3 linked regions of the Oreochromis niloticus genome follow. The protein of the gene in region 3 purifies or fractionates together with the protein of the main gene of each other region. This does not show direct contact. Links are inferred from orthologs where the notes say so. Each region holds a gene or a part of one and is shown on either strand. Other genes may lie near its edges. The genes, in order: usp1, usp46 and phlpp2.

Region 1 (7,890 bases), on a different chromosome or scaffold from region 3:
GAATCCTATGTGCAGCCTGAGATCTGATCTGATCTGATATATGCAAATATCCATCCATGCAGGGTTATGCACACATGCATACTTATAAAGGGTCCCTTTAACTTACTTTCACTGACACGCTTACACACCAAACTACTTTCTGTGTGAGAAAGGAATGGAATAAAGTGTTGATGTTACAGTTATAGTCATAGTGCAGCAGATAAACATATCCATCCATTCTCTTCTCCCTATCCTTATAAACCCCTCTCAGACAGGATGCAAAACATGTGAAAAGTGAGAAGCGTAAACTGTTCACTTATGCTTGTGTTTTTGCTTTTTTGGATCACGCTCCAGTTTTCCTTTGTCCCAGCTGCTCTAAGCTGAAAGAAAAGTCTCTGTTTTTCATTGCATTTCTGAGTACATATGTGCACACAAGTGTAGCAGACTTGGACATGCTTCTCATTCTTGGAGTTCACCACTGCCTGTCGTTCAGCATGCTTTCATTTTCCTACCAGCGCTCAGTTCTTGAGAGAGAACCAGGCTGGAGGCTGGAGGAGGGGGGCTGTTTTGTCTCTTGGGCTTTAAGCCCGCCACACCACCCACCTCTACCGCTCCAGCCACTAGAGCTTTGGGCCTCGTGGGACAAGGCCAACCTTGATGAAGGCCACTTGCATAATTCAAGCACCTCATTACTCAAGTTCTTGTAAAACTGGTCCATAAACAGTATCTGAATGTGTTACATTCAGGTACAAGAGAAGCTTTTTTTCTTCATCACTGTTCCTCGAGTCATTTTTTTTTTTTGTATGCCTTCTAAAAATGGAAAGTCTCTCCGGTGAGAGAGAGTATTGCCACCAACGTTTCATAGCACAGATCTCTCCAGTTATCGTATTCAGCGTCCAAAATACCGGAAAATAAAGCCCTGCTTACATTTGACCCTTCAGCATACAGCAGCTTGATACGTGGGTGACCTGGCTATGCCCTCTTTATAAAATTCTGTTATAAGGAGGTGATGAGAGAAGCGAAACACAGTAATCCTCCTGAATGTGAGTCTCCTGGTTAGGATTTAAATGGTGAGTGAGAGAGAAAGCATATCCAACACATCCCCTCCCCGGCCCGCCTTCTGTAATCTAAAGAGATCACTAGCTGCTTGTTTGATCTGTAATGAAGTCACACAACAAGAGTGATTTAGGATAAACTGAACCCACTTTAAGTGAAGTGTGGGACTCTGGTAGGCTCTAGTAAGTTAATTAAGAGGTTTGCTGTTAAAGCTACCTCAGAGCTGGAGACTGAAGAGTATTCTGAGCCATCAGACTGAAGGATGGCGATGGCATCATCATCTACAGTCCCACAGGAAGTCTTAGCACCCCTAAAGTACTCCCATCCACTACTGCATCAGCATCCTTACTGCAACATCCTACCACCATCAGCCTGAAAGCCACTGAGGTTTTCTGGAAGCTGAGGCACAGCAGCTCAGTGTCCATCGGTACGTTGCTGCTGACCAAGCAACCACTCTGCAGCAGCAGCAGCAGCAGCTGTAGCAACAGCAGCAGCGGATCGTCCAGCCTTCATACTGTCGTACTGACAAATGCCTGCACTGACTACGTGCATGGATGAAACGAAACACCTGCCGTCTCCCCATGTCTGTGCCGCTTTCAGGTGATGCGATCCTCTCTATATCGTAAAAAAAAAAAGCAAACAAACAAACAAAAACAAAAAAAACACGCCAGCCAAAGCACTCTGTAATACTGTTAAAGCAAAACAGTGCAACTGATACAAATAAGCTGTAAAGAAGATTAAACTAGACGCACTCGCGGCCCGGCTATTCGAGCAGATTTAGGTTTATCAATTAACGCTGGAAGCAGGGGAAACGTAAACAGTGTCTTACCGTCACAGTCGCGGAGGGATAGCCTCGGAGACTGTCAAACGATGAGATGCTCCGGTGAAGGAGGGAATGATACTACTGGACAGATCGATCTCCGTTCGGCTGGATAATGTCGTCCCCTGTTGGTGCAAAGCGGGCAGTGCCTGTACAATAAGCGTTTTGGTTTCTCTCCCTTTTTATGTATTATGTATACATGTAAATGGCTTCCTTAAATACAATTATGAACAGCTGATGTGGGACAAGCTTCGTTATTAAACAAAAGTCCACAAATATACTTTGGTTCCACAAAAAATATATAGTTTCATTTTAACAGCTGCAAACTATAAACTTCCGTTTACTTTTTTCAAAATAAAAGAACTGGCTAATGAAAGTCGGTGGTTGCCATGTTCTTGCTCAGGATTTTAGTAGGACATTTGCTTGGTTTGTTATCTACGACTTTAAATGGTACGTGCAAAAATCTCATCCCCACTCAAACTAAACTAACTTACTTAATCCCAGAAAATCAACCCCGGTTATCTGGTGGCAGTGACTTCCTAACTTGGAGGACTGCAGATTTCCCCTGTTGTGCCAAAAAGTGATCAACTGTCAAAAAAGGTCAGATCTAGTTCAATTCTACATTTTTTTTTTATGCGTAATAGCTTTTCTTATATTGGTTAATAGACTGTAGTCACTGTATAAGATTGAAAAAAAAAATACCTGTCTGCAAGTATCTTTGACTCCATTATTGTAATTACATTATAATCAATCCAGTCCTTTTTGACCACTTAGAATATCTTTATAGGACTGGGATGTTAAACTTGCTGCAATTTCTGCTTGTCCAGTTCTCTCTTGGAAAAGGGCATTTTTTAATGTCAGACACTTTTTACCTTTTTTATTGCAGCATCTACCTTGTGACAGGATTTTGGTTCTGGCTCACAATGACTTGATATCATTAATGAGAGCACAGCACAACAGCTGACAGGGCCAAAGTTTATTTTTATGATCGTTAATATGCAAACTGTCAAGACCATTCATCAGTGGCCATGAGTACCATTCAAAGAGAATTGGAGAATAGCCACAAACAGCGCTGTAAAATGGTGAAGTAAGGCCCTGTCCTTGCTTCAAAGATGGTCATTCCCTTTTCATGTAAATGACCTTCTTGCCTCCATGTTCAGAATGGTCTGGGATAACCAGGAATCCTTCAGCTTCCCTGCCCTGTATTAGCCTAAGAATACATCATTCACCATCTTAAAGTGTTGTTATTGCAGTCACTGTGATCATTGATCAATGGCCCATTGTTAGTCATTTGTGGGTGTTTTCAGTCATCATGCAAATGAACTGCTTATAATGCTGGGGAAAGCTGCAGTCAGCTGAAAAAGTCACTTTGATGAGAGATGAAACGTTTTTCCCACTGAAATGTACCTCTAGATGAACAGATTCAACTTTGTGGGATTTTCTTACCTGGATGACTGAGCATAATTCATAATTTACTATTATATAACTATACTATTATAGTCTCGTGGGGTTTTTTTTCAGGTAATGATTTATTTTTTTTATTTTTTTTGCTGTTGGACCCAGTTTTGTTCATACTCATTGGCAGTGTTGGGAAGGTTACTTTTAAAATGTATTCCACTACAGAATACTGAATACATGCCCCAAAATGTATTCTGTAACGTATTCCGTTACGTTACTCAATGACAGTAACGTATTCTGAATACTTTGGAATACTTAATATATTATCATGCTGTTTACAACTACGTGAATGTACTATTGCTGTGATTTATTACTGTTACTGAAGGTCCGAAACGTAGTAAAGGGACCTCGGGCTAATACGTCGGGTTCGTGTCGGGCTGGTAGCCGAAAACTAGCTTTACTTTGTTGTCTGGGTCAACTTTGCTTGCGGGAGACAGAGAGAGGCGTTGAAAGGCTGCTCCAACGGAACTTATTTTTCCCGGAGGAAAACACGAACACAGTGTACAGTTGAGTCTTAATAGCTTACTTACAAATGGGCTCCTCAGGCTCTCTTCTTGGCTGCTGTGGTTATTATTATATTTACATGCTTCCAGCTCCCGTTTTTGCTCCGTGACAGCTCGGACTTTTCCTTTCTCTCCCTCCCTCGCTCACAGACACATAACGGGTATGGTAGTCCATTCTCCCTGCAGCACGGACTACACTGCCCATGATGCTACATTCTTTAGAGCTATGCCTGTAGCAGTCTGCCTATTAGCTTAGCACAACAACAACAACACAAAGGCGCTGTCTCACCCAGGAAACACGCAGAGAGAGAGCGTCACCCTGTAACCATGGCAACCGTAACGCTGCCGCCTGGAACAACAGAACGTAGCTGTCAAACAAACCCAAACAATCCTGACCCGCGACAATATGAAACAGGGAAGTACCGCCGTGTATTCCATTTATTTCACCAAAGTAACTGTATTCTGAATACCACCTTTTTAAACGGTAACTGTAACGGAATACAGTTACTCATATTTTGTATTCTGAATACGTAACGGCGGTACATGTATTCCGTTACTCCCCAACACTGCTCATTGGTTTGTACTTAATAATATTATGCTTTCTATACAAACATCTGATTCTATGTTAACCATTTTTCTGTAAATCGCAATTTGGTGTTGGATCAGATATATAAAATGTGAAGAGGATTCAAGAAATATAGAGCACAGTCTCCCAAATTATACCTCTTATACAACAGACCAGCTTCAGCTTGTCTCAACTTGAAATTTGAAAGCCTCTGTGGCCCTTGGCTTCCATGGAAGCCTTGATGAGTTGTATACCTTTTTTTTTTTTTTTTTTTTTTTACATTCATTTAATGAAAGCAATTTTTTTTTTATGTCCTGTATTTAAAATCTTAGTCCTTCAAAAGGGAAAAAAAGTGAGACATGAGAAATGACTGTTCAAGTTTAGCTCGACTTTTAATTAGAAGGAGCTGGAGAAAGGACTACAAGAATGGCGCTGGGAGCTGGCCGGTTGGGTCTAGCCGAAATAGTTGTCTTAACATTAGCCTGAAATCTGGCATGTAAATCTTTTCAGGTATAGAATATTCCAGAGTTCTGCGCGCATTTCCAAATGTTCGGCAACACCTGAAATATTTTCAAGCTTAGTAGTGACCGTTTTTTTTAAACATTTTGGCCGGATGATTTGACGCGATATCCGAGCGCTGCCGGCGATGTAGCGGCCAACGAATCTTCAAGCAGGAAAAAGCGCCAACTTCTGTTGCACCGTCTGAATTGTTAAACAGTCCTTAAAGCATTTCGAGACGGGATATTTAATGGAAAATATCAAGCTTAAACTGGAATGAAGCATTCGGGTGAGTTTTGGTTCTCGACTCTGCTGGGATTTCAAAGAAGTCCTTTTTGGCCGTGAACAGTTTGAAACGGCGTGCTTTCTGTTTTCTCCTCCCACTTCTTCACCGCACCTTCTCGAGCCAGTTTGTCGCTGTGATGTGCGCAACGTGCTCAAAAAACGCCGAGTTATTTGTCGCTACCCTGTCATTTAAAACGAAAACAGCTGCTAACGTAAGCCGTTCTATAGCGGTTGTTTGTGGGAGGGACTGAAACAAAGTACCACCTTTAAGTTAGCGTTAGCCAGCTAACATGTTATATAATGCGTGGTTCGGTCAATAACCGGTTCGACTGTATTATTGAGAAGTGTGTGCTTGATTAGACTGAACCTGTCCGTGTGTAGCTGCACAATAGTGGACCATGAACTTAAGTGCGCAGCTACGTTCGTTCTCGTTGAACTCTGATGGCGCCCGCTGAAATTACATTGTGTGTTTCCATTTTTCACCAGTGAGGTTCGCTGTTGCGTCTCAGTAGGAATTTAAAAGAAAAATCGCCCTCAAGGTACTGAGAGGAAAGATGCCAGGTCTGCAGGGTGAAAGTGTGGTAGTAGCGGCTCCGGGGAGCCCAGTGAAGAAGAGCAAACTCTCTCTGAAGTTCTTCCAGAAGAAGGAAACCAAGCGGGCTCTGGATTTCTCTGAACCTCAGACAGAAGAACCCAAAACATGTGAGCCAGAGGAGCCTGAGGCAAGGTAGGTCTCTGCTACCAGTGTGCGTCAAACACAAATAGTTTTCCAGACTGATGTGTTTTGGGCAGCCCGAAGCACTCGTTTTCCCACAGTTACATTTAGATAATTACGGGAATTCCACTGTTGTTGTGAGGGCAGGATAATGCACGTGTAGATGAGTGACACCTTAGATTTTAATAGGCTTCATCTCAATCAAGCTGGTGTTAGACTTCAACATTAATCTCAGTGTAATCATTTTAAAAACAGTGTGTGCCCGCGATGGTGGCTGTCATTTGTGAAATTCAATTTATTAGCTGCTGACTTTCTGTTTGCTTTCTTCTTAACCGATCAGCAGCTGCGATCAGGTGGTCCCTGGGCCTTCTCAGTGTCCTTCCTCACCCAGCCTCCTCCTGTCCTGCGAGAAGAGAGAGAACTTGGTGCCGTTCGTGGGACTCAATAATCTGGGCAATACCTGCTATTTGAACAGCATCTTACAGGTGAGCCATTACCACAGATGGAGTTAATTTCCAGCGTTAATAGATGTTTTGTCACTTGTTCCAGTGTTTTAGTACAAATGGTAGGATGGGCTTAAATATACTGAAGGAAAAGTTGAAAACTGCACAGAAACTTAACAGTGTGTGTGGTTTGTTCTTGTGCGATTTAAGTTGCATTGAATCCTCAAACCTGTTCACCTGTGTTATCCCACTCAGAAGTGGATGTTCTTGTGATGTTGGGAATGTTCAATTTTCTGATGGGGAAATTGTGGTTCAGCGGTTGTAGTGTGATGGCAGTCTGTGGGGAGCTTTGGACTGTTCTACCTGCAGAGAGCCTCTGTAGTCAAATGGAGGCAGTGCTAAAAAAAAAAAAAAAAAGTGGTTCGACCGGTCTGTAGGCTACTACTGAGTGTTGTAAACAATGTACAGTATCCACTGCAACCTCTGACTGTACTTCTCATACATTTTTTTTTTTTTTTGAACTTCTTTCCCTGTTCTGGCCCACTTGTCAACCAGTCAGCACATTTCTGTTGGTTAAAAACCCATCTCTGTAGGTAAATATCTCTGGAAACTAGGGCTGCCACGATTAGTCGACTAGTCACGATTACGTCAACTATCAAAATCGTCGACGACTAATTTAATAGTCGACGCGTCGTTTGAAGCTTTGTAAGATCCCAAAAGACGCAGGAGTAAGTAGTAGGATTTAAGAGTGTAATAACGGACTGAAACAGAAGATGGCAGCACTGCATGTACAAGGATGCCTGCTGCCGTTAAACCCCAAAGAAGAAGAAGCTGTGTCCCAGAATTCATAGCGCGGCCCTGCTCAGTTTCCAATGATGGCGGCAGCTAGTTAGTTTTAATATTACTCTTATTATTCTTTCTGGGTCACAAAATAAACGTTTAACCTATTTTCAGGCGAGAATGTAGCTGTGTAAACCTCAAATATCTGCTCAGTTTATCAAGACACCACATGTTCTCAAAAGTGCTCCGACGTTTTCGGAGACGTCTGTTACCCACCAGCTCGATAGCTAGCCGGGGTTCAAGGCTCACTAGAGCCGTTGAGAACACCGGACTCCCGGCAAATCGTTTTCAAACCCACCGCTGTCTTTCGCTACTCAGGTTAAACGTGATATATAAGTCACTTAGATAACTTAAAAATGATATTGTTTGGCTTTTTTTAGTATTTTATTTGTTCCTGAGTAAATTGGTTTGGCTGAGATTAAAGTTATAGTTTTTACACAGCTGAATAAACGTCAAACAGACAACTGATTATCAGAAGTGTGAGATGCTCGAGAATATACTGTTATATTTTAGATAGCAAGGAGCAGACTGCTGAGTTTATTAAACTTCACCTAAACAATCTGCAGATTTCATTAAAATTTAATAAAATATCATCTTGTCTTTATGTTTAGTTAGCACATACTTTAAACACTTAAAGCTGTAAGCTAATGATAGTTATATAAGAGCAGATGCATGCTGGTGCAATAAGCTGGACGTTTTACGTCCAATGGATGCATGATCTGATTAGT
Region 2 (8,056 bases), on a different chromosome or scaffold from region 3:
CTGCACATGTTTTGAATACATCATAATCTCTCCCACCGTGTTTTGTATTACAAAAAAAGGCTGTGCCACCTAATACATCTTCTTCCTATTTGCCAACTTTGAAATCTTTGTACTGAGAAGCCTAACAAGATAATAAATAAGAAAAAGGCTTCCTCATGCTTTTGAGACAGGACATAAGATCCAGAGCTCTGACATACAATAGAGCAAACACTATAACCTGCCTCTCCATTTCAGATGCCCTGCAGCTGCAGAAAGATACTAAAACCTGCTTTGTTTCTGCTTCCAATTCTGAACATGAAACCATCACAAAATAAAAGAAATAGTAGTCATCGATATGACGTGGCACTATCACTGTCACACAAGCTGAACGTCTAGCTCCTTATTTGATGTAGCAACATTTAATTGACACGTATATCTAACCTGTTCGTATGCACACGGATAGTTTTGTCAATTACTAGTTTTTGGTGATGCAAGTGGAAATTGTGGCTTAAAACGTGAGACAAGTTCAGATCAGAGCAAAAGTCTGTCACAAAACGCTTTTATTTTCACTTCAAATACTACAAGTGTATAAAGAAATGTCACACCAACTGAATCATTCTGAACATGCAAAATTTGTTTGTAAAAACTTGACTTATGACTCATCTGGTATTAGCAGTCATCATAACATAGTCAGTCCCCAGGAACAGACAGACACTGTGTCTCACATACAGTGGTTGGAGGAGGGGTTTAAACTTTTCTACAACAATCTTAATAAACTGTTCCTAACCTTGATGTTTCAGAAGCCTGTGCCAGATGTCACAAGTCGGCAGTGAATCACAGCCTAAACTGGGAAGGATTATTTCCTCGTGATGCATAATTCATTTTGCCTCTCTTTGTAGCAGCTAAACAACAGGAAGGTCATCGGTGCTTTTAGCGGCGTAGCCAGCCTCTTTTACTGGAAACTTTTTTTTTTGAAACTCAAGATTAAAAAATTTTTTTGTGTGTTCCCTTGCCCAAACATTTAGCCCCACTTCTGGTCTCAAATGAGGCAAGCAGAGAAGGTTCTTTGAGGTTCATTTTTTACATGTTGTGAATGCAGACGTCCTGTCAGCTCCACCTAAACATGAAGAGGAAAACACTAGATGAGAGAGATTAAAACTCCAGATAAACGCAGACCGATTGACCCACCTTTTCGGTTCACCTGAGGCCTTCTGCCGATACATGAGCTGTCCTGCAAAGTTACAGAGATAGGAGATAAAACTGATTTGATCTCATCAGGGAATAGATCATCAGAGATGCAGAACAGGAGCTGGGTTTCATTGTAAATGCTTTTACAATGACCATATTTTTCTTGCTCTTATGGTTACTTACTGAGAACATAAAGAGCAGGAAAAATGACAATAAAAGCAGTATGAGTCATGGCATCTGCATCCACTGTGGTCTCTGTCCTATTAATACTGACTGGACCGAAATAGAAAGCAAGTCTGGGAATGTTTTGTGTCAAGAGCCAAGAGCTTCAACCACATGTAATTGTTTTCCCATCCATCAAACGTTTTTCACAGATAAACCATGAGAACACATCAGTCAGCAAGATTCTGAGTAAGTACATGGTGCATACAAAACATCTGATCAACAATGTAGCTCTCCCATCCTCCACAGCTCAAACTGTCCCCCCTGTTATTCTGTTGTTTGTTTTTCTGTTAACACTCTTATTCCTTTCTCCTTTTCCCGTCCCTTTTGAAGTATGTCTGTCATAATTATTCATTGTTTTCCTTTCTTTTTGTTCATATTGAAATGCTAAGGGGATAATTGCTGAGGGAATGTTTTGAAAGCACAAACAAAGCTGCTGGTAAATGAGAGTGTCCCGAGGGCCCAGGACTCCTGAGGTGTCCTTACCTCATAATGCCCTCTCTCTCTTCCTCATGGTCAGCTAATTGTCAGTTAGAGAACCGAATAACTGGAAATTAAATGATAATTTACAGAATGTCACCTTGCAAAAGAATGATGGCCAGTACACAACATACGTTTTCAAAGTGTAAAGGATTATCTCTGAGGCCTCTCAGTTTCAGAAAGGATTCCTCTGAAGTCTAAAGAAATCTCTTTTTGATATTATCAAGGGTTGAGGTCTACTTTTTAAACAGAAGGCCTGGATTGCAAACAGGCCATTTGAAATTTAAAAGAAGCAGAGGTTTAAAAAGCAAGCAGCGTTCCAGGAAAGATCCCAAGGGATGCATCATGAAAACAGGATATATTATGTTACCTTTTCCAAACTGATTTTGGATTGGTGAATTTGGTTAGCACTGGTGTCTCACAGTAAATGGATTCTTGTTCAAACTCAGGCAGGGTCCTTCTATGTGGAGTTTACATGTTCCATATGTGCTTGTTTGGGCTTTATTCAGGAGTGCTTTCTTCTTTTTTTTAAATAAAAAAAACCGAATAAATAGGTATTGCCAACTTGGAATATATCTATCTTGGCCCCAGAAGAATCCTACAAAGAGGTAATTAATCTCAGGAGTTTCACTTCCTGGACAAATAAAACAAACTCAATGTGAATGCCATATATTTATGAAATTTGAATATTAATTTTCTTGTATGCCTTGTTCGATTGTTTTTCGTTTGTTTTCAGGTTAAACACAATATCTGTTGGATAGAAATTCTTCAAATATGATCACATTCACCCAGGCTGTTTTTACTTGTTTTCAAGTTGTTAATGTTATGACATTTTGCACAGAATAAGAGATTCGTGTTGCTTCAGATGCATTTTTACTACTGGAAATATTTCATCTAATTTAAGCTGAATAGTTGAGCAGCACATGCAGGAGGTAGAATACATGACACCCATTCGCTTACTGTAAGTTTACAAGACAATGACCTGCTTTGTTCACACATGGGCTTAATTTGATATCACACAGTCTTTATGCTAGAGAGTTGGCAGGTTAAAATCCACTTACTGGCTGAACTAAGTGAGTCAGACATTTGGATTCCTATGTGTAACTCTGCCCGGGAATGTGTAGTGCATATGTGAAAACAGCTTTGCATGCAAGGACCTGTAACTCAAGAATTCCTAAATTTATGACAATGGCAAAATTTTCCAGAAATGTAAAACGGGATAAAATGATGAAGAAATTTGCAATTTTGACCAAGAGGTCAAAATTGTTGCATTGTAATATTATGCAAAAACACTTTTTCGCAGCCTTGAAATAAAGGAGACTGTGATCATATTTTATTTTGGATACTGAACTGGTGGCAATAATCTCTGCTGGCAGATCTCTATATAAGAGACAGGACAGACAAGGGTGTAAATTACAATACTGGAAAAATTGCGAAACAGTAATTCTAGTAACTGAACTCATACTTTTCTGCTCCATTTGAGTAGTCAAAGCACTTTTAGAAATGTGAAGCTAGAGACTCCAGTAACCATAGTTAACTGTATTCCAGGGCTAGAGCAGACAACACTGGAGAAAATTTGATACTGCTGTCTAAAAGTAAGCATATATTCAGTGAGATTGCAAATCACAATGACAGTAATGACACCCATTTGCGTCAATCGGAGGTCACTAAAATTTAATATTGAGTCTCGTGCCAGGAGTGACATGGTTAGCTGCATGTTCTCCTTAAAATGCTGGGTGTCCAAAACATGATGTGGACTTCAAGGTCAAATGGAACCAGGAAGCAGAGGATGCAGGATGAATACGTTAGCTTAAATGAGTCATACTGACTGTCAGAATCCTCAAAGCTAAGGCCGAGGAGGAGGAGTGGCTGCAATCTTTCACTCCCTGTTATTAATCAACCAAAGACCCAGAAAACTCAAAAAACAGCTTTATTTGTTATCTATCATTCACCTCATAGTTTCTAGCTGATTTCTCAGAAAATGACTTCAATAAATGTTTTGATTAAAAATTAAATTTTTAAGAAAAAAGATGTGCCATTAAGTACAGCAACTTTCAAAATTACTGATATTGGACTCTTTATTTAGACGCTTTCTGTCCAATTGATCATACTGAGTTAACTTAATGTCTTCCTCTAAACCATCACTGTGACTTTTAACTGATCATTTCCAAAGGAATAGTTTATTTGAAGCATTTTAATCAGGATTTAAAATACATCATAGCACAGAAACAGCACTAGTGAATATTGTAAATAACGATCTTCTTACGGCTTCTATATTACACAAATATGTAAAGACTCCCTTTAGTCATTTTCACAATATCTCTAATATTTAGAAACAGCCTATTTAGAAATTGACGCTGAAAAGTAAAGTCTTCTTTACTCATCTCTTTTTTACTGCCCGTGTGTTTATACACCAGTACTGTATGTAATCATTAGTAATTCATGAACTCTGGCTCCTTTCCACGGGACACAGCAGATGGCTGCTCCACCCTGACTCTGGTTCTGCTGGAGGTTTCTTCCTGTTAAAACTGACTTTTTCCTTCTCACCGTTGCTTGATCATAGATACATATCTGATTGTTTGGGTTTTCTCTCTAATATTATAATGTAAAATTGCATTGAAATGGAATCAAATTCAGTGTCTTTACCCATTCATAATTTTTTTTCTATGCTTAAGTACTTTTAACTAACTCACACACTGGTGGATGCATCTGGGACAACTCGGAGTTCAGTATCTTGCCCAAGGATACTTGGACATGCAGACCAGATGAGGCAGGAATCAAACCACTGACCTTTTGCGAACCACTCTAGCTTCTGAGCTACAGCGACTACTCTTAAAACATATGTATTGACAACTTCAAAAGGTATCATATAGCAAAAAAAAAAAAAGCTGCTGGTTTAAGAATGTGCTGTTTGCGTCGTTAGACCTGAAAACATGATTTTTGGCTCACACCACTTCTTTCTTCTTTATGGGGGAATTACTTGTCTGTGTTATAAAGCATAATATATGTTTTTATGTCACTAGAAAGCTTTTTGCATAAACCCTTCAGTCCTTTTAAATTTCACAAATCACAAAACGAACTACAAATCCCTGCTCTAAATCGCAGATGATTGGTTGCGGCTCACTTAAACTCTACCGTGCAGGTCTGTATGTGGCTCTTCAATCATGTCAATCAATTCGACTAAATCCGGACCAATCAGCTCCGGGGGTTTCCCCTGGTGGGCGGGACTGTAATGCTTCCTCACACAGCAGGCTCGTTTCCTAGACGTTGCTAACAACCTGCTGCCTGCAACTTTCGTCTGTCCCCTCGTGCACTGTCGTTTTCCAGCTGAGGGGTGTTCGATATGTGTGCGAGGATGCAGCCGTGTCCACACTGAGAGTCCCCCTCAGCTCCGTGCCGGCTGCATGGTGCTCCGTGCCTCTCTGCCTGCTTTCTGACGCTTGAGGTTGCAGTCTGGCCTCCAGCCTCGACTGCGAATTAACTTCATTGCTCAGCGTCGCCTTGCTCTATTTATTTTATAAAGATGGCGGTGAAGGGGACACTGTAAACTAAATGACTGTCAGAAACATCGCCTCCATTTGTAATATGGTGAGTAACTCGCTGCTTTTCCGTGTTGATATCGATCCGCTTGCAGGCACTGTGCTGAACCTGGTTGTGTGTGTGAGAGTGTGTGTGTGTGATGAGTCGCCTCCCACCTGCACCCAGAGAATGTGCACACTGCAGGGTTTTTTTTAAAAAAACGAGTATACACAGTAGTTTAAATCGTGGCCCCATACTTTAGTTGGTCTCAGTGCTGTCGCTCAGACAGGGCCCCTTTTGTGCACCTTTGCACGCTGCAGCTTGCCGGGAGCGTTTGCATTGTGTGTTGCATCCTGGCGAGACAACACAATGTACAGTTTGTATAGTTGTCACCGGTGATTGACAAGAGGGATGGGGGGAGCGTGCTGCCTTTGACAGCTTGGTGTGATTGCATAATGTGGTGCTGCAGCAAAGGACCGGTTACATCCTGGTAGCACAGAGCAGGAATCCACACTAATCTGTGCTCCTGGTGTTCAGGGGCAGTGAAGAGTGGGTAAGAACAGACTTAAACGGCTCTGCCTAATGCCAGTGGCCTTTGCTTTATTTAGACTAGATGCTAATGTGAAAAGCCTGCAGTGTCAGTCTCATCTTAGAGCTGCTGGAGTTCTTAGATTGCACAGACTGATATATTAATCCATATCTCATCAGGATGTGTGGTGTTTTTCTTTTGTTTCTAGATATATATATATATATTCAGAATCTCCTTTAATTTTACAACAATGTTTTGTCCTGTCCTTTTTTCTGGAAATAATTAATGGCAAGGGAGTCAAACAGAAGGAAAAAAAACAAAATATATAGACAAACAGAAGAAGACGGCTGTAGTGATCGATGTAGCGGTCCCGAATGACAGCAACATCAGGAAGAAGGAACACGAGAAGCTGGAGAAATACCAAGGGCTCAGAGAAGAGCTCGAGAGGATGTGGAGGGTGAAGGTAACGGTGGTCCCCGTGGTAATCGGAGCACTAGGTGCGGTGACTCCCAAGCTAGGCGAGTGGCTCCAGCAGATCCCGGGAACAACATCGGAGATCTCTGTCCAGAAGAGCGCAGTCCTGGGAACAGCTAAGATACTGCGCAGGACCCTCAAGCTCCCAGGCCTCTGGTAGAGGACCCGAGCTTGAAGGATAAACCGCCGCAGGGGCGCGCTGGGTGTTTTTTTTTTTTTTTTTTTATATATATATATATATATATATATATATACACACACATAGTTCAGTATTATGTATAGAGCACCAAAGACACCTCAAGGCACTTTATATTGTAAGGCTAAGACAGTATGAGCACTTGGTGACAATGGGAAGGAAAAACTCCCCTTTAACAGGAAAAAAAGCTAGCAGGACCAGGCTCATGGAAGGACAGCCATCTGCTACAACTTGTTGAGGGGTGTGGGGAGGAAGACAAGACAAAAGACACACTGTGAAAGAGAGAGCGGAGATTAATAATAAGTCATGGGTAAATGAATAGTGCTGTATAAATACACTGAGTGAAAAGAGGTGAGTGAAGAAGAAACACTCATGGGAAGCCTCCAGCAGGCTAGGTATATTCCAGTGAAACCAACTGCAATATATATATAGTATATATAGTAAAATATATATATATTACTACACTAGTAAAAGCCTCGCAACAAGTGTTCCACCAGACATAAAGCGGGAACAAGCAGTTCACAGGAAGCCATCATCATGTGATTTTTTTAAAAAACATTTTTTATCCTGATCGAAATATCAGATCGGCGCATTCCCACTCAGTATGTCCCTAACCCTATTTATTAAATAGTCTTAACTAAGTAATCTAATCGAGATGTTACAAGTTAAGGACGCACTGATGGATATGGGCAGATAAAATGCTACAGTGTTTTGCACCAGTCATTATATTATCATTATTATTATTATCCATGGATTTTTCTTAACACTGACTAACCTAAATTGCATGAGAAAACTCGTGCAGGAGCAAGGAGAACATGCAGACTGCACACATGCAGGGCAACAAGTTCAATTAGGAACCTTCTTGCTGTGAGGCAACAGTGCACCTTCAGTGTTGGATGAATAATTGTTATTTCAAGCTGTCTCTCTTAATCAAATAAACATGTAGAAAGGAGCATAATATCTCTCCTTTAAGAATTTATTCCTTTCTAAATTAACAATACCACTGCCCACTTCCTGTTATCAGAAGGAGCTCAAATTTCAAAATGTGGCTTCAGATGTCAGTAAAGGTTGGATGGATAATTCATGTGTGGACTCTCCTTGGTAATTCGTCTCTCCTGGGACCTGCATGTTTCCCAAAACATTGGAGACTGGAAGTGGTAAGCCGGACAGACGGGTATCCATTGTCTGCTTTGACAGATGAGAAATGACAGTCATTAGAAGTCAAAGCCTTCCCCAACCTAAATTGTCTGCTGTGTTCACTCAACAAAGCTGTGATTCATTTGAAAAAGCTTTGAGCTCTGACAAGTGAAAAGCCTCTGACAAGAGATAAGTGCTCTGTCTCAGCAATTGGGTGCAGCAAGAGTCCCGACTTTTGATACGGGTCTACCTATTTAGACTATATCCGTTTTCTACGTTGACATGACTTGTTGTTCTGACCAAAGGAAGCAAGATGTGTGGAAGTGTGTGCT
Region 3 (7,888 bases):
TTTGTGCATCTCATTACTTAACCTTAGCAGCCCTGTGACGATGCTGTGCTGAGATCCTCATCAGGCTGTGTAATTATTTTCACTATGCTTCACTGTCTTCTAACTTCTGTGACCAAATCAGAGAGACTATTAGCTTTGGAAATATTTTTGAGCTATGATATGTGTATATGGAGAAAATAATTTCAGTTTAACTTTTTTTCTTCTTTTCTGTTGTTGACAAATGCTATATTGGCTTTTTTTCTGTACATATTGAGGGCTTTTACAATTTTTGTCTCTTGTACTATCTCTCATCCTTTTTTTAGATGCCATTTTCTAAAAGAAAATTCCAATTATTCACAATGTATATTGTCTAAATAGATCTAGTCAACATTAGTCTATTAAGACTTCCCTGTATCATCACTCATTCATTGTAAAAGGTATATGATCTGCTGCCTGTACATTGTATATAGTTGTAAAACGAACGCTGATCAGATTAAATAAAACCCACATGAAGACTTAAAAAGATTAGCTAGAAAGTATAATTGTATGCATATATGTACAAAACGAATCTTAAGAAGGATGCAAATGACATGCTCATGCTTCATTCATGATGTCGTCTTTTCTTTTACGATGATACTTTGTGAGTCATTGGGCCACATGACGAGATTCCTTTTTTGGATGTTGGAAAAAAGGGTTAAATCTGTCCTAACAGATGTTGTATGGGTGATGTACTACTGAGAAACCTAAGCACAGTGCTGCACAGAGGCAGCAGCAGAAATGGCACCTTGCTCCATCTGCTTCTCTGCCCCTCAAACACCTCATGTATCCGTGCCCTCCTGTGGAAGAGCGGCGGCTTATTTACCAAGAAGCTGCTCTTCCTTCTGGCCTTATGTGCACTCTTTGACACTTCACCTCTATTAAACGCTTTTCAATCTGCAAATTGTTTTGTGAAATGAAGCCCACCCCCTCTTTCTTCATTATTCTGGTGTGTGATCTCTCTTAGCTGCCTGGTTGTCTTTTTGTTTTTGCATCTCTACCCAAACAGTCAAGGCCCTTATCGGTGCCACACAAAGGGGTTTTTCAGCTCACAGCGATAGATATTGTGTGCTCGCTGTATTCAGAACAACACAGTGCTTTCTTTTGGGTCCTTTTTTAGTCCATTATAGCATGGCACAACTTTCAGTAAACGCTTTGTGATCTCCAATATAACAGTTAACAAAAAAACGATCTGGGTCCTCGCTATTCTAAACCAGACTTTAAGTGGCTGTAAATCAAGGCAGGATGTGGTGAACAGCAGTGGGTGGATTCTTTTTGTCTGAGTCTTTATAATTTTGTTTTTAATCCATTTCTGCTGTTCAAGAACTGAAACAAAACTGGGGCAGAGGGGAAAAAGCCTGTGTAGCTGGCTAATAACCACAAGGGGGAGCTGTGCAAAATGGAAGGCTGAAGGGATGGGAAAGGAAGTTTGATACTCATACTGTTCCTGAATGTTTTTGTGTTGTTTGTATTGTCTTACTCAACCAGTATGTACCCTTGTCCGTCACATCAGATGGTTTCTTTTTAAGATTCAGTCATTCATGCTGTTTAAAACCTACAAATGGAAATGAACCCAACATAAGTGCTTTGGACACTGTAACTGTAAAAGGAAGAGAAGAAATGGAATCAAGTACTCATCAGAGGTGTGGTCAGTGACGTGTGTGTGTGTGAGAGTGTGTGTGTGAGAGAGAGAGGGAGAGTCATGCCCGAGAGGATGTGATGGTGTGCAACATGTCTTCTGTCTACATAGGACATGATTTTTGGCTGCAATTGCTTTCAGCTTCTGAGCTGCATGTGAAAACCAGTGTAAATAACACCATTTCTACTCTCGATCTAAGACTCTTTTGAAGTGCTAGAAAAGTTCCAATTATATGAATCTGTCACACCACCTTCATGGGTCAGTACTAACATGTACAATAAGCAGTTGTTGAAATAGTGCTCACATTGCTGTCGATGTTTTTAAAGCATCTGTCATTCGGTTTATTGGTTATTGCTTTTTTTTTTTTTTGTTTTGTTTTTTGGATTTTTCTTTTGTTTGTTTGTTTGTTTGTTTTTTGTTTTTTGGGGGGTGAATTCAGTGTGCAAAGGGCTTGGGAAAGCGTCTGAATTGCCACCACGTTCATGAACTTACCCTGTTGAATTAAAAAAAAATAAAAATAAAATAAAAATGCATCTGCTGTATTTTGAAAACGGAATCTGTACACACACACCCCCGAACCCGTGACCTGCCCTGACTGAAAACAAAACTGTATCTGATTAGTTGGGGGAGGGTGAAGGCATGAGGTTCACTTTTGACTCGTATGAACTGTATCCCAGTTCTGTGACTTCAAGGTGAGTGTGAATGTCAGACTGAAGATATAAAAGGATGACTAAAGATGAGGAGTTGTAAACTATTAAATGGGATATTTTCAATTTATGCTGTGTATTCTTGTCTTTGGGTTGGAGAAAATGATCAAGCGAATAAAAAGTCAAATAAAAATCTACATGAGCTACGGTAGTTTTCTTTCATGCTTTGGGGTCTTGTGTATAAGAGTCGTCTACCGAAAAGAAATGCTGGGCTCAATTTATTCATTTGTTAATATTTATACCAAGGATGGATCATTTCTAATTGTTTTATGTCCTGTTTATCAAATGTTGAAAACTGGGATAAGAATTAGATATAAATAGAAATGAGTTTATTGCTATTATAAACACCTAGATTTTTTAAAATGTTTCGTGCTGTTAATGTCGACTCCAAGTATGAGTGGATGTGTGAGTGCTATGTATCTGTTTTTAATCAGCATTTAAAAACCATGACTGGACGTGGGTTAAAATTAAACTGACCTTTATGATATAGAGGGGAGAATTAAGAAAGAGCCAAAAGGCATGTGTTGTGCCTTATTGTGAGGGAGTTCTACAAAATGAAAAGAAAATTGTAAGGCATTCAGAATTGAAATTATAGATTAGTCAGCATATAACACTTGGATTTGTGGCCCCTTGAGTAAATTGCTTACTTGGCTCTCTGGCCAAAATTAAGCCTCTACTGCACAGTTTCTAAAGGATTGCGACCAAGTGAAATGATCATAAAGGTGTCAAAGCAATCTAAAAAGGTATGGGAGTCACTTATCTATCATCATTTCTTAGGTTCATATAGTAAGCCAAGAAGATCAGATTATTTGCTTTAGAAATGACTTGAACTGCAAAAAATATTAAAAATGTGTCTGAAGAGAAGCCACGTCTTTTTCGTTTTTTTGTTTCCTGTTTTCAGAAATTTTCTCCTTGTTGCCTGGGTACTTTTCACTCAAGATTTAGTCGTGTGAAAGGGTTTTCACAGGACTCCAGGCTGCCTAATGAAAATCTAAATGCACAGTTACTCCTTCCATAGGAATTAAGAGTAAGTGGCAGGCAGGTGCTGCTAGCATTTGATCAGTGTGATCTGCAACATTCAGGTGTGTAACGATGCTACAGTCTTGCCAGGAATGTCTATCCCTTCAAATTCACTCGAAAGTCAGACTCTGTGATGCTCAGGAAAATTGTAAAAGCAACACAAGACCAGCATCTCAGACTCTACCTGCCTCAGTCAGCATGATAAATGATGAAGTTCATGACAGTACTATTAGAAAAAAAAGCCAATAAGTAATAAGGCTTGTTTGGAAGGGTTGCTAGGAGAAAGCCTCTTCTCTTTAAGGAGGGCATGACAGCACACTTTAGATTTGCAAAGTTGCATCTGAACAAAGGTGTGTGGTTATAATGCACAGTGCAGTGTTTGGTGGAAAACAGATGCAACATATCAGCACAAACATCTCTCATCAAATATCAAGCACGGTGGTGGAGGGATGATGATCTGGGCATGTTCTGTAGCTGCAAGACCCGGGCAACCTGCAGACAGAGATTTAGCCAATTCCTCTCAATGCCACAGTATTCCAGAGTCAAATACAAGGCTATCCGTCTGACAGCCAAAGCTCTGCCCAAACTGGGTCATGCAACATGGCGAGCACAGCAGTGAATGTACAGCAGACTGGCTGAAAAAGAAAAGAATCAAGGTGTTGCAATGACCCAGTAAAGTTCAGACCTCAATCAGATTAAAATGCGGTGACTGGAGCTTAAGAGAGCTTTGCAAAAATGAATGCCAGCAAACCTCAATGAAATTAAGCAACAATGAAAAGAAGAGCCGGCAAAAATTACTTCACAACCATGTAACACACGCAGAGTCACAAAGAAAACCATTATTTCAGTTATTGCTTCTAAAGGTGGTTTAACAAGCTACTGAATCATGGGGTGTTCTTAGATATTCACAGGACAGCAAACATTCCAATGTAAACTGCTGTCCCTATTCAGGGAACCTCAATAGCTATGTGTGACAAGGTTCACCCTGAATCCACCCATCCATCAAATCAACCTTTTCCACTTACCCAATTCAGAGCGACAGGCCGGTCACACCCAAAGTCATGCGCAAAAACCGTAATGTTTGTGACACAGCTTATATGGGGCGCCCCATACAGCTTAGAACAACTGCTTTTAAACACAGACTGTAAACCCATCACGAGACACTACAAAACATGAACACATGTCTGACACACCCAGCAGATAAATGCATTTTTAAACATTTTCTTCCTATTTACTTAATGATAAAAGAAAGTTTTATCCACAGACTAATGCAAAATGAGCCTTTCTTTCTCCCCTCTCATTGAATAGGTGCAGCAGAGGGTTAACGCTTAATGACACGCCCTGCAAACACCTCTCGTGTTTTTGCGACTGCATCAAGTGGGAAAACTTGCCTCATCATTATTATGAAGCATCCCGCTTCAGAAAGGCCCATTGGCTGCTGAATAATAAATACCCTGAGCCCGCCCATGTCATGTTTATTGATCAGCTCTCCGGGGCCTATCTGACAGCAGTCAGATGAGTCGGGATATGGCGTCGCTGCACCGACACAGGATGAATTTTCACCTCTCCGTGGGAATTTACAAGTCGCGCGCCGGGACATCGCTTGCTTTTTGCCGCCGTTAAAAGGGATCACACATGGCGATGGAGGACGAGGACAATAACGCGGAGGTCGCTGCGACCAACGTCCGAACGGGCATCAAGAGAGGAGGTGATGTCGGAGATAACGGGGCTTGCATAGACAGGCAGCCGGACACGGTGGTCCACCAGGCGGGGCTGAATCAGACTGCGGGTCGCGGCAGCCGCAGTGGTCCCGGAGCTCACGCTGCGACGGGGATCCGAGTGCTAAAGGCAGGTCATAACCAGAGGGAGCAAACGGGGGGGGATTTAAAGTGATCGACAACTGTCATGTGAAGGTGTCGCTTACATCGCAGTAGGTGCTCGGAACAGGGCAAAGTGCATCCACGGATACGCTCGCATCCTTCCCGGCAGTGTTATGTAAATGCTGTGATATCGCGTCTAATTGATAATTGATCCGAGGCAGTCAGGAATGCACCGGAGCCGGTAACAGCAGCAGACCACACACTACAGGCACTCATAGCTGGTATATAGCGAGGCCCGCTGCTGAACTGTTTTCTTAGAAATTTTTAGGGGAAGACATGATGAGTAATAACACGCAAGTCCCCAAAGCTGCCTCAGAGACACGCGCGTACATACAGAGAACCTCAGCTGTGGTATTTCATTTAGACTGTGAGCATTACTCGTTTATTATATTTAAAAGAGGTATTTGAGGATTTGCAATGAAATAGGTAATCCCGGAGTATTAAACACCTTGATGTTTGTACGCAGAGCATTAGTTTCTACCTGCCTGTCATAAAGGTGGGTAAGTGAATTCTTTTCACAGTTATAGGTCTCAGATATAGATTATTTATAAAGTAGAGGCACTTCCTTGTGAGTCCGGACAGCTTGTTCAGTCACATTCACAGTGACACACATCCATACTGGGGAGGTGCCCAGGACATCTGTAGTCCAGTGGGGTGATTCCACAGCTTCATCAGACACACCTTCACAGCTGCTGACAAAGAAGACATCTGCACTTTACTTTCTCTGTGACCTCTTAGTTTAAGCCAACCGTTCGCCTGATCACAGCCTTAACTCTCTAACCTCTGAAGCAATGCTACTCCAGGTATGATCCATTTAAGTAGTGAGAGTGGATGTTTATTCTTGACCTTGAGAATAGAGGCTTCAAATGGGATATGACTTTGTTACTGTACAGAAAGAGTCTAAGAAAAGAAACAAATTAAGCCTTCTGTTGGGCATTAAATGAGAGGATTTGCCAAGTAATTCATCAGATTAATCAAGATAAAATTACTGTTATTTTAACAGGAAATCAATCATTAAATCAGTTATTGAGTAACTGTACCAAATACTGAGAGACTGTGGCCAATGCTGTTCAAAAACCCAACCAAGAACGATCAGTTATCACACCTTTTACTGTCAGGCTTATCGAACATGGAAGCCACTGGAGGCTGAAGATGACATCATTTAAAAACAGCAGCAATGATACCTGTTTGTCACCAGAGCGGATGCTCTCCAGACCTTTGATATCTTTCTTTGTACTGACTAGATCTAAATGCATCCCGCGTGATAAACTCCACCCTCACGAAGAACTGCTGTTACTGATATTTTATCGTTCAGGAGAGGATTATTCTTCATTGATGTCTGTTTAAGAGTAACATTAGGCTACTCCACATCCGGCTAATGTCATCACGGGTGATTAGTGAAAATAATGGTGCTGTGGTTCCTCACAGCAGTCACACCGTCCACCCTCACTGCGAATGAATAAACTTTAATGGTTGACTTTAGTTTAGGGTAGAGCGAACATTTCTATGAAGATTATCCAATTGGTAACTACCAGCGCAAATTGATTTTTGGCTGGATTAAACCCCCAGCACGTCTGGGAGAGTGTGTAGTCCATCTTGAACCACTCTCTGTTTCCTCAGATGCCCCTTGCCTCTTATGCTATGTTTTTGATTACAATCTGTGTGTGAGAAAGACTAATATTCTGTGTTTTTCTGTGTTAGCAGCGCAACATGAAGCGGAACGGGAGTCGAAGCTGCGTGACGAGAAAAACCAGGTTTGGATCACGAGAGCGGGACTGGCTGAAAGGGGACACCCAGCGGGGCTGTGTGTGTCTGTATGGGGGAACAGTAGACCCTCAGCCACCTGCCTCTGGCACACAGGCCTCCTCCACCCCTCAGACAGACCTGCAGTTGGTGCTCTGCTCCACCAGTACCACGGTGGAGGAGCTGTGTGCTCAGAAGAACGGACACGCACTTTACGTTCAACTGCACGGAGACCTAGTGAGGTAAATTTACATCGTGTCGAATCATGGTGACAAAGTTGCGTTCAGCTATTCCCTGAAGGACAAAATAAATTAAGGCATGGTAGGAATACTCCAAATATACCTGTTCCCTTTTAGAACTGCAGAGAAAAGAGAGTTCAGTCCACATCAGCTACTCAAGATGGGGCCAACACATGCATCAGGCATTCAACAGCTTCATTAAATTAATACCAATTAATCATGTTAAGTAAATAAGAGACAAATCGAAGCATAAAAAGAGTTATGCAAATATAAGCACGTGAAATGGGAGCTTGCTAAAAATATATAATACAATCTCATCCTCAGTTAATGCAAAGAAGGTAAACACACCACTGAGGACTTGCTGCAGTTGCCCTATCATCCCGCACTCCCACAGCTCCTCACCTAGGATACGCTCAGGGAACATATCTCTACGCCTCTCACCGCTGTACAAGACATGTGTAGACTGAAATAGTAATTGATGATCTGTGAAAGGATGAAAAGCTGGTTCACTAGTCTGTGACCAGGAAAGATTCAGTTCCTTGTTTGCTTCCCTTGGAAAACCTACGTGAAGATATAAAGGAGCCTAAAACGAAAGCTCAGCTGTACAGCTTAAGCCTGAATGAGTTATGGCTCATTCTGTCTGAG

What was found.
Region 1: the proteins of phlpp2 (region 3) and usp1 purify together in Homo sapiens (affinity purification with mass spectrometry; 3 studies listed by BioGRID and IntAct, with this or other methods). This does not show direct contact. The link is inferred for Oreochromis niloticus from reciprocal best matches to the Homo sapiens genes PHLPP2 and USP1.
Region 2: the proteins of phlpp2 (region 3) and usp46 purify together in Homo sapiens (affinity purification with mass spectrometry; 4 studies listed by BioGRID and IntAct, counting the BioPlex papers as one, with this or other methods). This does not show direct contact. The link is inferred for Oreochromis niloticus from reciprocal best matches to the Homo sapiens genes PHLPP2 and USP46.

Annotation. Positions count from the first base shown.
Region 1 is NC_031981.2:33,420,514-33,428,403, forward strand, and holds the start of usp1 (ubiquitin carboxyl-terminal hydrolase 1), read left to right. Parts: upstream 1-4,799; 5' UTR 4,800-5,168; intron 5,169-5,196; exon of another isoform or gene 5,197-5,376; intron 5,377-5,650; 5' UTR 5,651-5,718; coding exon 5,719-5,891; intron 5,892-6,219; coding exon 6,220-6,364; intron 6,365-7,890. UniProt on the Homo sapiens protein: Negative regulator of DNA damage repair which specifically deubiquitinates monoubiquitinated FANCD2. Also involved in PCNA-mediated translesion synthesis (TLS) by deubiquitinating monoubiquitinated PCNA.
Region 2 is NC_031986.2:37,319,426-37,327,481, reverse strand, and holds the start of usp46 (ubiquitin carboxyl-terminal hydrolase 46), read left to right. Parts: upstream 1-5,040; 5' UTR 5,041-5,421; coding exon 5,422-5,457; intron 5,458-8,056. UniProt on the Homo sapiens protein: Deubiquitinating enzyme that plays a role in behavior, possibly by regulating GABA action. May act by mediating the deubiquitination of GAD1/GAD67.
Region 3 is NC_031965.2:21,822,188-21,830,075, reverse strand, and holds the start of phlpp2 (PH domain leucine-rich repeat-containing protein phosphatase 2), read left to right. Parts: upstream 1-4,786; 5' UTR 4,787-5,016; coding exon 5,017-5,229; intron 5,230-5,881; exon of another isoform or gene 5,882-6,052; coding exon of another isoform or gene 6,053-6,064; intron 6,065-6,962; coding exon 6,963-7,246; intron 7,247-7,888. UniProt on the Homo sapiens protein: Protein phosphatase involved in regulation of Akt and PKC signaling.